Oryctolagus cuniculus: one gene and its partner. Each later gene encodes a partner of the first gene's protein in a complex. Links are inferred from orthologs where the notes say so. Each region holds a gene or a part of one and is shown on either strand. Other genes may lie near its edges. The genes, in order: WASHC1 and WASHC3.

The links.
Region 2: WASHC1 (region 1) and WASHC3 share a complex: the UniProt entries of both Homo sapiens proteins name them as parts of the WASH core complex. The link is inferred for Oryctolagus cuniculus from reciprocal best matches to the Homo sapiens genes WASHC1 and WASHC3.

The regions. Positions count from the first base shown.
Region 1 is NC_091440.1:106,627,733-106,631,549, forward strand, and holds the end of WASHC1 (WASH complex subunit 1), read right to left. Parts: intron 3,251-3,817; coding exon 3,139-3,250; intron 2,958-3,138; coding exon 2,811-2,957; intron 2,673-2,810; coding exon 2,536-2,672; intron 2,364-2,535; coding exon 2,228-2,363; intron 2,070-2,227; coding exon 1,868-2,069; intron 1,786-1,867; coding exon 1,621-1,785; intron 1,101-1,620; coding exon 942-1,100; intron 469-941; coding exon 400-468; intron 286-399; coding exon 146-285; 3' UTR 12-145; downstream 1-11. UniProt on the Homo sapiens protein: Acts as a component of the WASH core complex that functions as a nucleation-promoting factor (NPF) at the surface of endosomes, where it recruits and activates the Arp2/3 complex to induce actin polymerization, playing a key role in the fission of tubules that serve as transport intermediates during endosome sorting.
Region 2 is NC_091442.1:104,997,382-105,001,198, forward strand, and holds part of WASHC3 (WASH complex subunit 3), read right to left. Parts: intron 856-3,817; coding exon 745-855; intron 1-744. UniProt on the Homo sapiens protein: Acts as a component of the WASH core complex that functions as a nucleation-promoting factor (NPF) at the surface of endosomes, where it recruits and activates the Arp2/3 complex to induce actin polymerization, playing a key role in the fission of tubules that serve as transport intermediates during endosome sorting.

The DNA of each region.
Region 1 (3,817 bases):
TGTGCTCCTGGTTTGCACTCAGTTCTTGCACTTTATTTCTGTGGCTCCTCTCAGCTCTAGGACAGCCCTGCCTTTGGAGAGGACTCAGGCACAGAGCCACAAGTCCTCACCTTTCTTGTCTCAAGGGGACCGAGAACCTGCTTCCCTAAGACTCCCAGTCATCTTCGTCGTCCTCTCCCGCTGGCTGCTGGGGAGGAGGCAGAGGAGGAATGGAATCAGACATTCGGGCGAAGGCTCCTCCAGGCCCCTCGCTGGCCCCTGTCCCAGGTCCTTTCCCAGATATGCCTGCAAGGGAAAAGGCTGAGTGAGGGAGGTGGGCCGGGGCCCCCATTCTCAGCCCCTGGGAACTTAGGGGAGGACCGTGTAGGATGCAAGTATCCCCTGCCCAAGGCCTCTGACCTTTGCGTCTCATGACCAGCTTGTTAAAGAGATCCGACATCAGGTCCCCACTCTGGCTCGTGGCTCTCACTGCAACAGAAAAGCCACAGTGAGGGAGGTGGAGGAGCCAGGCAGGAAGTCCCTGGCTTAGCTGCACTCGGCCCCACCCACCACCACCTGTTGACCACCTGCTCTCGGTGCCTCTGTGCAGACCCAGCAGTGTTAGAGTTGCATCAGTGTGAGCAGCCCTGCAGGAAACCTGGCCAGAGAGCTTAGGTGTGAGCTCGGGGCCGTTGACCACAGGGGCTCTGCTGCTCTCTGCCCAGGTCTCCATCCCATCAACTGCAGCCTCAGAGGGCTTTCAGGACTTGGACTGAGCTCCCCCTCAGGTGCTGCCTCAGGGTATCCCTGGGCCAGGGGTACTCACGACGAGTCCCCTTAGAGAGGAAAGCTAAGCTCAAGCTTTGTCTGTCTTGTAGGTGCCCAACCTGGGGGGAAGCCCACTGTGCAGGCAGAGCGGAGGTGGATGTCGGGGCGGCCCCTCCCCTGAGGGGGCCCCTCACCTTGCTCCCGCTCCTTCTGTTTCTTCTTCTCCAGCTTGCGCTCCTTGACGCTGCGCAGCTTGGCCTTGCCGATGCCGCCGGCTTGGCGGATGGACTCCAGCAGGGTGGCCCGGCCGCTGGAGGGGTCGACCACTTCTTTGGGAGCTCCCTGGACTGCCGCTGGGAGGGGGGAAGGCTGTTCAGGCAGGGACTCGGGCCGGCTGAAGGTGAAGCCCGGTGCGCACGGCGGCCTGGGTGTTCCTGTCCCCAGCTGCCCGAGCACCAGGGCCTAGATGCAGCCCTCCTAGTTCTCCCACTGCAAAGGCGAATGCTGAGATTCCTGATGGGCTGACAGGGTCTCAGCAGTGCCCCACGAACCAGCGAGGGACTTCTGTGTGCCTTGTGGATGGGGCCATGCACCAGGAGCTAGAACATCACAACTGAAGTTTGTGACCTCACATTTTAAATAACCCCCTTTCCCCATTGGTGGGAATGGGGGGCCCAGGCTCCCCCTCCTGGGGTTAGAATTCCGGAGCTCTCTAGGACACTTGAAAAACAGGGTTTTATGAACCCACTGAATAAAACATTTGAAAGGAGAGCTGTTCCGAACATGCAGAATTCGCAGAATTCACAGTCCCTTGAACCTACAGGTGCCTCAGAGTGTGTGTGTGCCCTGGCCCCTGCCCAGTGCTGCTCCTACCTGGAGGCCCACTGCTGCCGCTGTCATCTACCCTGGCACCTTGGCCGGTGGAGGCCACTGTCTGGGGAGGTGGTGGTGGGGCACTGACCAGAACCGCAGGTGCTGGGGGAGGTGGCGGGGGTGGAGGGGGTGGTGGGGGTGCTGTGAGCACCCCATCCTCCAGGTCTGAAAGAGAAGGTTGGGAACACGTGAGGCCCTCGAGAAGGAGGCTGCGGGGCCAGGGAGTCCCCCGGAGCTCCCAGCTCACCTGGCTTGAAAGGCTCCACCACCTCCGTGTGGAAGGTGGGCAGCTCTGGAATGGCGCCGGGGGCCGAGGGGGCAATGCCGGGGCCCAGGTCGGCGCTGTACATGAGGTCATCAGCGATGCCGGGCAGGTCCGGCAGGTAGGAAGGCACATCGATCTCGGGCACCTGGCCCAGGTCTGGCACGTAGAAGTAGTTCTCTGGAACCTGTAGGGTCAGTGAGGTGCATGAGCGGCCAACGGGGCTGCAGGCCACATCGTGACCCTGGGGCAGAGGGGAGGTCGCCTTGTGCCAGCACACAGCTGGGTGGGATTATGGCTCCTTGCAGGGACCCCACCACCTGCCTCTCCCCCGCCCCTTGCCACCTGTCGCTCTAGCTGTTCTCTCTTGCTGATGGACAATGGCGCATCGAATAGCTTCTCCCCTGTCTCTGCCCCCAGCATCACATGGGTCTTGGTCACAGCACCGGCCAGCGGGTCAAGGAAGACGTACTTCTTGTACCTGTGGGAGGAGGGGTGTCAGGCCAGCAGCACCTTCCCTTCTAGGGCTGCATTCCTGACCACGGTGGCTTCCCAAGCCTCACAGGCCGGAGGAAAGCGCTCGGCTCCTGCTGCCCCTGTAGGCCCGGCCAGTCCACCCAGCCTCTCCGCACAGCCCCGCCACCTGGCCGTACAGGTTCTCGGTGGTGTTGAAGAGCAGCAAGGAGCTGACGGAGCTGATGTTGCTGGGAAGGCCCCCAAGCCCCTCCTCGGCTTCATCCTCAGGTCCGGGCTTGGTGCTCACACACACGGGGAAGTATTTCAGCTTCTCCTGGGGGCGGCCAGAGGGTAGATGGAGATTTCAGCTCTGGGTCCTGTGGACCCCACCCCATCCCCGCATCCTCTCCAGGGACAACTCTCTGTCCAGTGGGCCCGCAGCCTCCCTGCCCAGGGTATGTGGCCATGACACCTGCAGGGCCCGCTCATCCAGGGGGCGGTGCTTGCTCTGGATCCTGTGGCGGGGCCGCCCCTGCAGGCCGGGGTCCTGGGCGCCCGAGAAGATGGAGCCGTATTCCTGCAGCCGCTCGGGAGCTGGGTACTTGGCACTGGAGAACACCTGTGGACACAGGGACACATCTGGGGCCTGAGGGGCTCCAGAGAGCCAAGGGTGGCTGGTAGTGTGGGAGTGGGTACTGGGATGCCGCAAGGAGGGAAACCTGACGTGTGGCAGGACAGCAGGAGTGCGGGAGATGGAGGAACTGCCTGTCCACCACAGAACCCAGGGGTGCACAGACTACCTTGATGGCCTTCTTGCTGCCCTTGATCTTCTCAATCTTGGCCTGGGCCAAGGAGACCCTCTGCCCGATGGCCTGCAGCTGGCTCCGGCTCAGCTCCACTCGCTGGGAGATCCTGCCAAGGGTAAGGTCACAAAGGCTGGGGACTGCACCCAAGCCCTCATTCTCCTGTCTCTCCTGCTGCTAACAGCCGACTTGTAAGGCCAGGGCGGGGCCAGGTCTCTCAAAACGTTATCTGTTTGGCCTGTTGTAGAGCTTCTGGGGGACGCTACCAGGATTCTCCAAGCACAGAGGCCTGGGAATGAACTGTACTAGTTTCCCTGGGGCCCTGCCTCCTGCCCCAGGAGTGTCCAGTCTCAGGCAGGGGTGTGCAGGACAGCCGCAATTACACATTCACATACAGCTGCTGGCAGGTGGCAAGCGCTGTCACAGGCCCCTACAACCCAGCTGAGGCAGACCGCGGCAGACCCCCGAGTTCAGTGGGGCTAAGTGACCAGCAAGGCTGGCCCCTACGCATAATGAACGGTTCTGCAGAGGCAATCCAGGCCCTGGTCACGGCTTCCCTGGCTCTTGGTGGTCTGGCTCCTCACCTGCTTCCACTGTGCCCTGGACACCAACTGCCTGGCCACCCCTGAACATGCCAAGCACGCTTGTCTGTGGCCTTAGCAACTTGAACATTTCC
Region 2 (3,817 bases), on another chromosome or scaffold:
AGCCAGGTGCTTCTCCTGGTCTCCCATGGGGTGCAGGGCCCAAGCACTTGGGCCATCCTCCACTGCACTCCCTGGCCACAGCAGAGAGCTGGCCTGGAAGAGGGGCAACCGGGACAGAATCCAGCTAGAACCCCGTGTTCCGGCGCTGCAGGCGGAAGATTAGCCTATTGAGCCGCAGTGCCGGCCAGCAGGTTCTTTTAACCATGATAATAGGACTTTCTATAAGAATGAAATTAACTTCTTAAGTCTTATTATGGACAACTACAAATATTCTGAAGTCATCTAATTTTGAAAGTCTAATCTGACATGGCCAAGAGAATTAAGTTCTATCTTACAAATCAAATCACTGTTAAATAAACAGTACAATAAAAATATTTTTTAAAAATATTTATGCTAGTATATGGGAATTAAGCTAAAGTAAATGATTTGCCAAATGAATAGTCCTCTTTCATTCTTTGCTGATTCAACCAAGATGTGCACTGAAAACTTTGTGTAAAGCAAAAACATTACATAAATCTATATTAAACTATGCAAATTTGAAGTGTGACTAATTGTAATTAGAAAGCTTTGACTTGAATTTTTTATCAGGATATTAACTAAAATCGAAAGGAAGTGAGAGAGCAGATAACTTGGTCACTCAGTTTGGCAGTTTCCTCAGATTGAAAAAAAATAGCAATGAAACTTCCAGGGTTAAGAATTTCAAATGAGGCTGCTGAACAGAGAAGACAGTCCAAATTAGCTTACCACTTGAACCATTTTGAGATATCTGGCATATCTTGGATCCTTGGCTACAGTTAAGATATTTTCTGCTGATACTTCATTTTCCTGTGGTCCACAGTCTTGTGTACTGTTCTGCTGTAGAGAGTATTTGGTGTAAATCTTTAGACAATTCACAAAAGGGGTCCATCAAATTACTTAAAAGGGATGTTTCTCTTTATAATTATACAGGAAAAAATCATGCTTCTGAATTAATTTAAACACCAGTAATTTAATTATTGGATGTATATTTCCAAATATTTACCAACACTTAAATATGACTTCAGAGGAAGCTATACTTAATAACCGTTCCTTAAAACACAATTATACTCATGGCATCAAAAAATTAAATTTTTGGTTCTCTTGTGCCCAGAATCTTCATACAAAATATGAATTATACAAGGATAACTATTAACTCTGACAGAGAACTTATAAGTATCTATCACCTATTGAACTCTTCATTTATTAAGTCACCTTATTCTAAATGGGTATGGCTGTTCTAACTTTTTAGAAAGCAATGCCTGCATAATTGGTGGGGAAGAACTAATTTCTCAGACGAAATTAGCTGGTTTTGTACTTTTCAGCTGCTGACAGAACTATCAGTGATAATGCTGTCCACACAGTGGTTAAGGTTAAATACTATATACTACTTACAATGAAGAACACTGGAGAACAGTGTTTTATAGGTTAAAAAATGCTTTCATTATACAGGCAGTCCTCAGTGTGCATGGTACTTTGTTAACTGATGTTTGGCCCTGTCTTTGCTTAAGGGCACAGGTAGGACTGCCAGTTTATAATACTTGAATTTTCTATCAAATTATAGATTTAGAATAACCTTGGTGAATCCATTCATTATCTGCACATAAACATCAAGAGAAATTTCTTTAACAAATGAAATCAATTGTATGTCCCTGTATTTATGATGAAATGCAGATAAATCAACATTTCATAATCTTCCCATAGTGTTTGGAATAAGGATGTGAATTTTCCTCAAATAATTCACATATAAATTTAACTTGTCAAAAACTCTGAAACAAAAAAGGCCTCCAATAACTTTTAGATTTTTCCTATGATATGATACTGTTAAGTATTACAAAAGTGAGTGTATATCTATATCTACATTCCTGTACATATATTCACCTGTAATATACATAAATAGAAAAATTCAAAACATTGTTAATTAAATACGAAAGTCAAACAGATCCAAGTATGTTTAAAAAAACTTATAGACATAAACTCATACATCAGCAAACTGGAGTAAACAAGAACTACATTCCAAACAGATTCCAAGTCAGCTGTTAACTTTGTCCTAAAAATCAATACCTCAGCAAGGTTTAATTATATAATGTCTTACACCTTTGCTATTTGAATAACCAACTAAATCCTGTTACATCTTTCAACTGTCCTTCATTTTATTTTCAAATTAATCTCAAGCTGTACAACTGGATGTTCTATTATGAATGATAAAATGTAAACCATGGAATTAAAGTTGCAAAAAAATCATTCTATAAAAATCTTTTTGACTCAAACATAGATAAGAGATGGTGATAAATGGTTAACTTTCTTTAACAACTGCATAATTCTTTAACTGACAATCGAGTTGATTGTAATGTAAATGGAAATTCTGTGTTAAGCCCATTTCAAAAATATTTCAATCAATAACAATGAAGAAAGGAATGTGAAGTAGACTTAAATATTATGAACATACTGAGTAGTTATTTTATTAATCTAATCAACAAGCAACTTTATCACATTTTTTAAAACTTGGAAAGCCAACAGACGGTCATAAATTCTCTAAGGGAATTAATCTTCAACTTTAGAATAAAATTGTCAGAGTTATACCAATTGCTTTTAACTTTGAAGCAAATTAAGAAATTCATCTGTGATTACTGTATTCAATTTGATGACTTTAAATAGGCAAAGACTAACAACAGCATAAAAGTTATAAAATAAAATACATATCATAGATGAAATTTATAATAGCACTTGGAGAAATTAATATTCAAAGTAAGACAGATAATACTTATAGAGCTATATGACAGTTTTATCTACCAAAGAATAAATACTAAGTAGAGTGGGAATATTTACTTAATATTCTTTACAGATGTCTTGTTTTAGAAAAAAGGTGGTCGGGTCAGCACCATGGCACAGCGGGTTAACGCCCTGGCCTGGAGCACCGGCATCCCATATAGGCACCAGTTCGGGATCCAGCTGCTCCACTTCCGATCCAGCTCTCTGCTGTCGCCTGGGAGGACGGTAGAGTGTGTATGGCCCAAATCCTTGGGCCCCCGAACCCGTGTGGGAGACCTGGAAGGGGCTCCTGGCTGCTGGCTTCAGATCAGCACAGCTCCAGCCATTGCGGTCAATTGGGGGGTGAACCATAGGATGGAGGATCTCTCTCTCTTTCTCTCTCTCTGCCTCTCCTATCTCTGTGTAACTCTGACTTTCAAATAAATAAATAAATCTTTAAAAAAAAAAGAAAAGAAAAAAGGTGGTCTATATTTAATTCACAGAACCTTGTATAGTTAAACTTCTCTACAACATCTGAATTTCCACTTGTATATTATATACAAGTATACTGTATCACAATGGAATTTACTATATTAATTGAGGTTACGTTTTCTAATATCTAATTGTTAAGTAAATGATCATCTGATTTATTCCTTAAATGCAAACTATATCTAAATACAGTCATTCCTTGGTATCTAGGGGGGATTGGTTCTAGGAACTCTCATGGATATAAAAATCCGGGAATGCTCAAATCCTTTATATAAAATGTTGTAGTATTTACAAACAACCTATACAATCTTCTCATATACTTTAAGTCATCTCTAGATTATTTAAAATACCTAATACAATGTAAATAGCTGTTTATACTATGTTGTTTAGGGAATAAAGAAAAACTGCACATGTTCAGTACAAACATAATTAAATATTTTTGAACTACAAGTGGTTGAATCAATAGATGCAGAACCCATGGATACACAGAGCCCACTGTAAAAGGCATCTCCCACAGGGATTCACACCACACATCTTCATTATGTTTAATAAACTGAATATA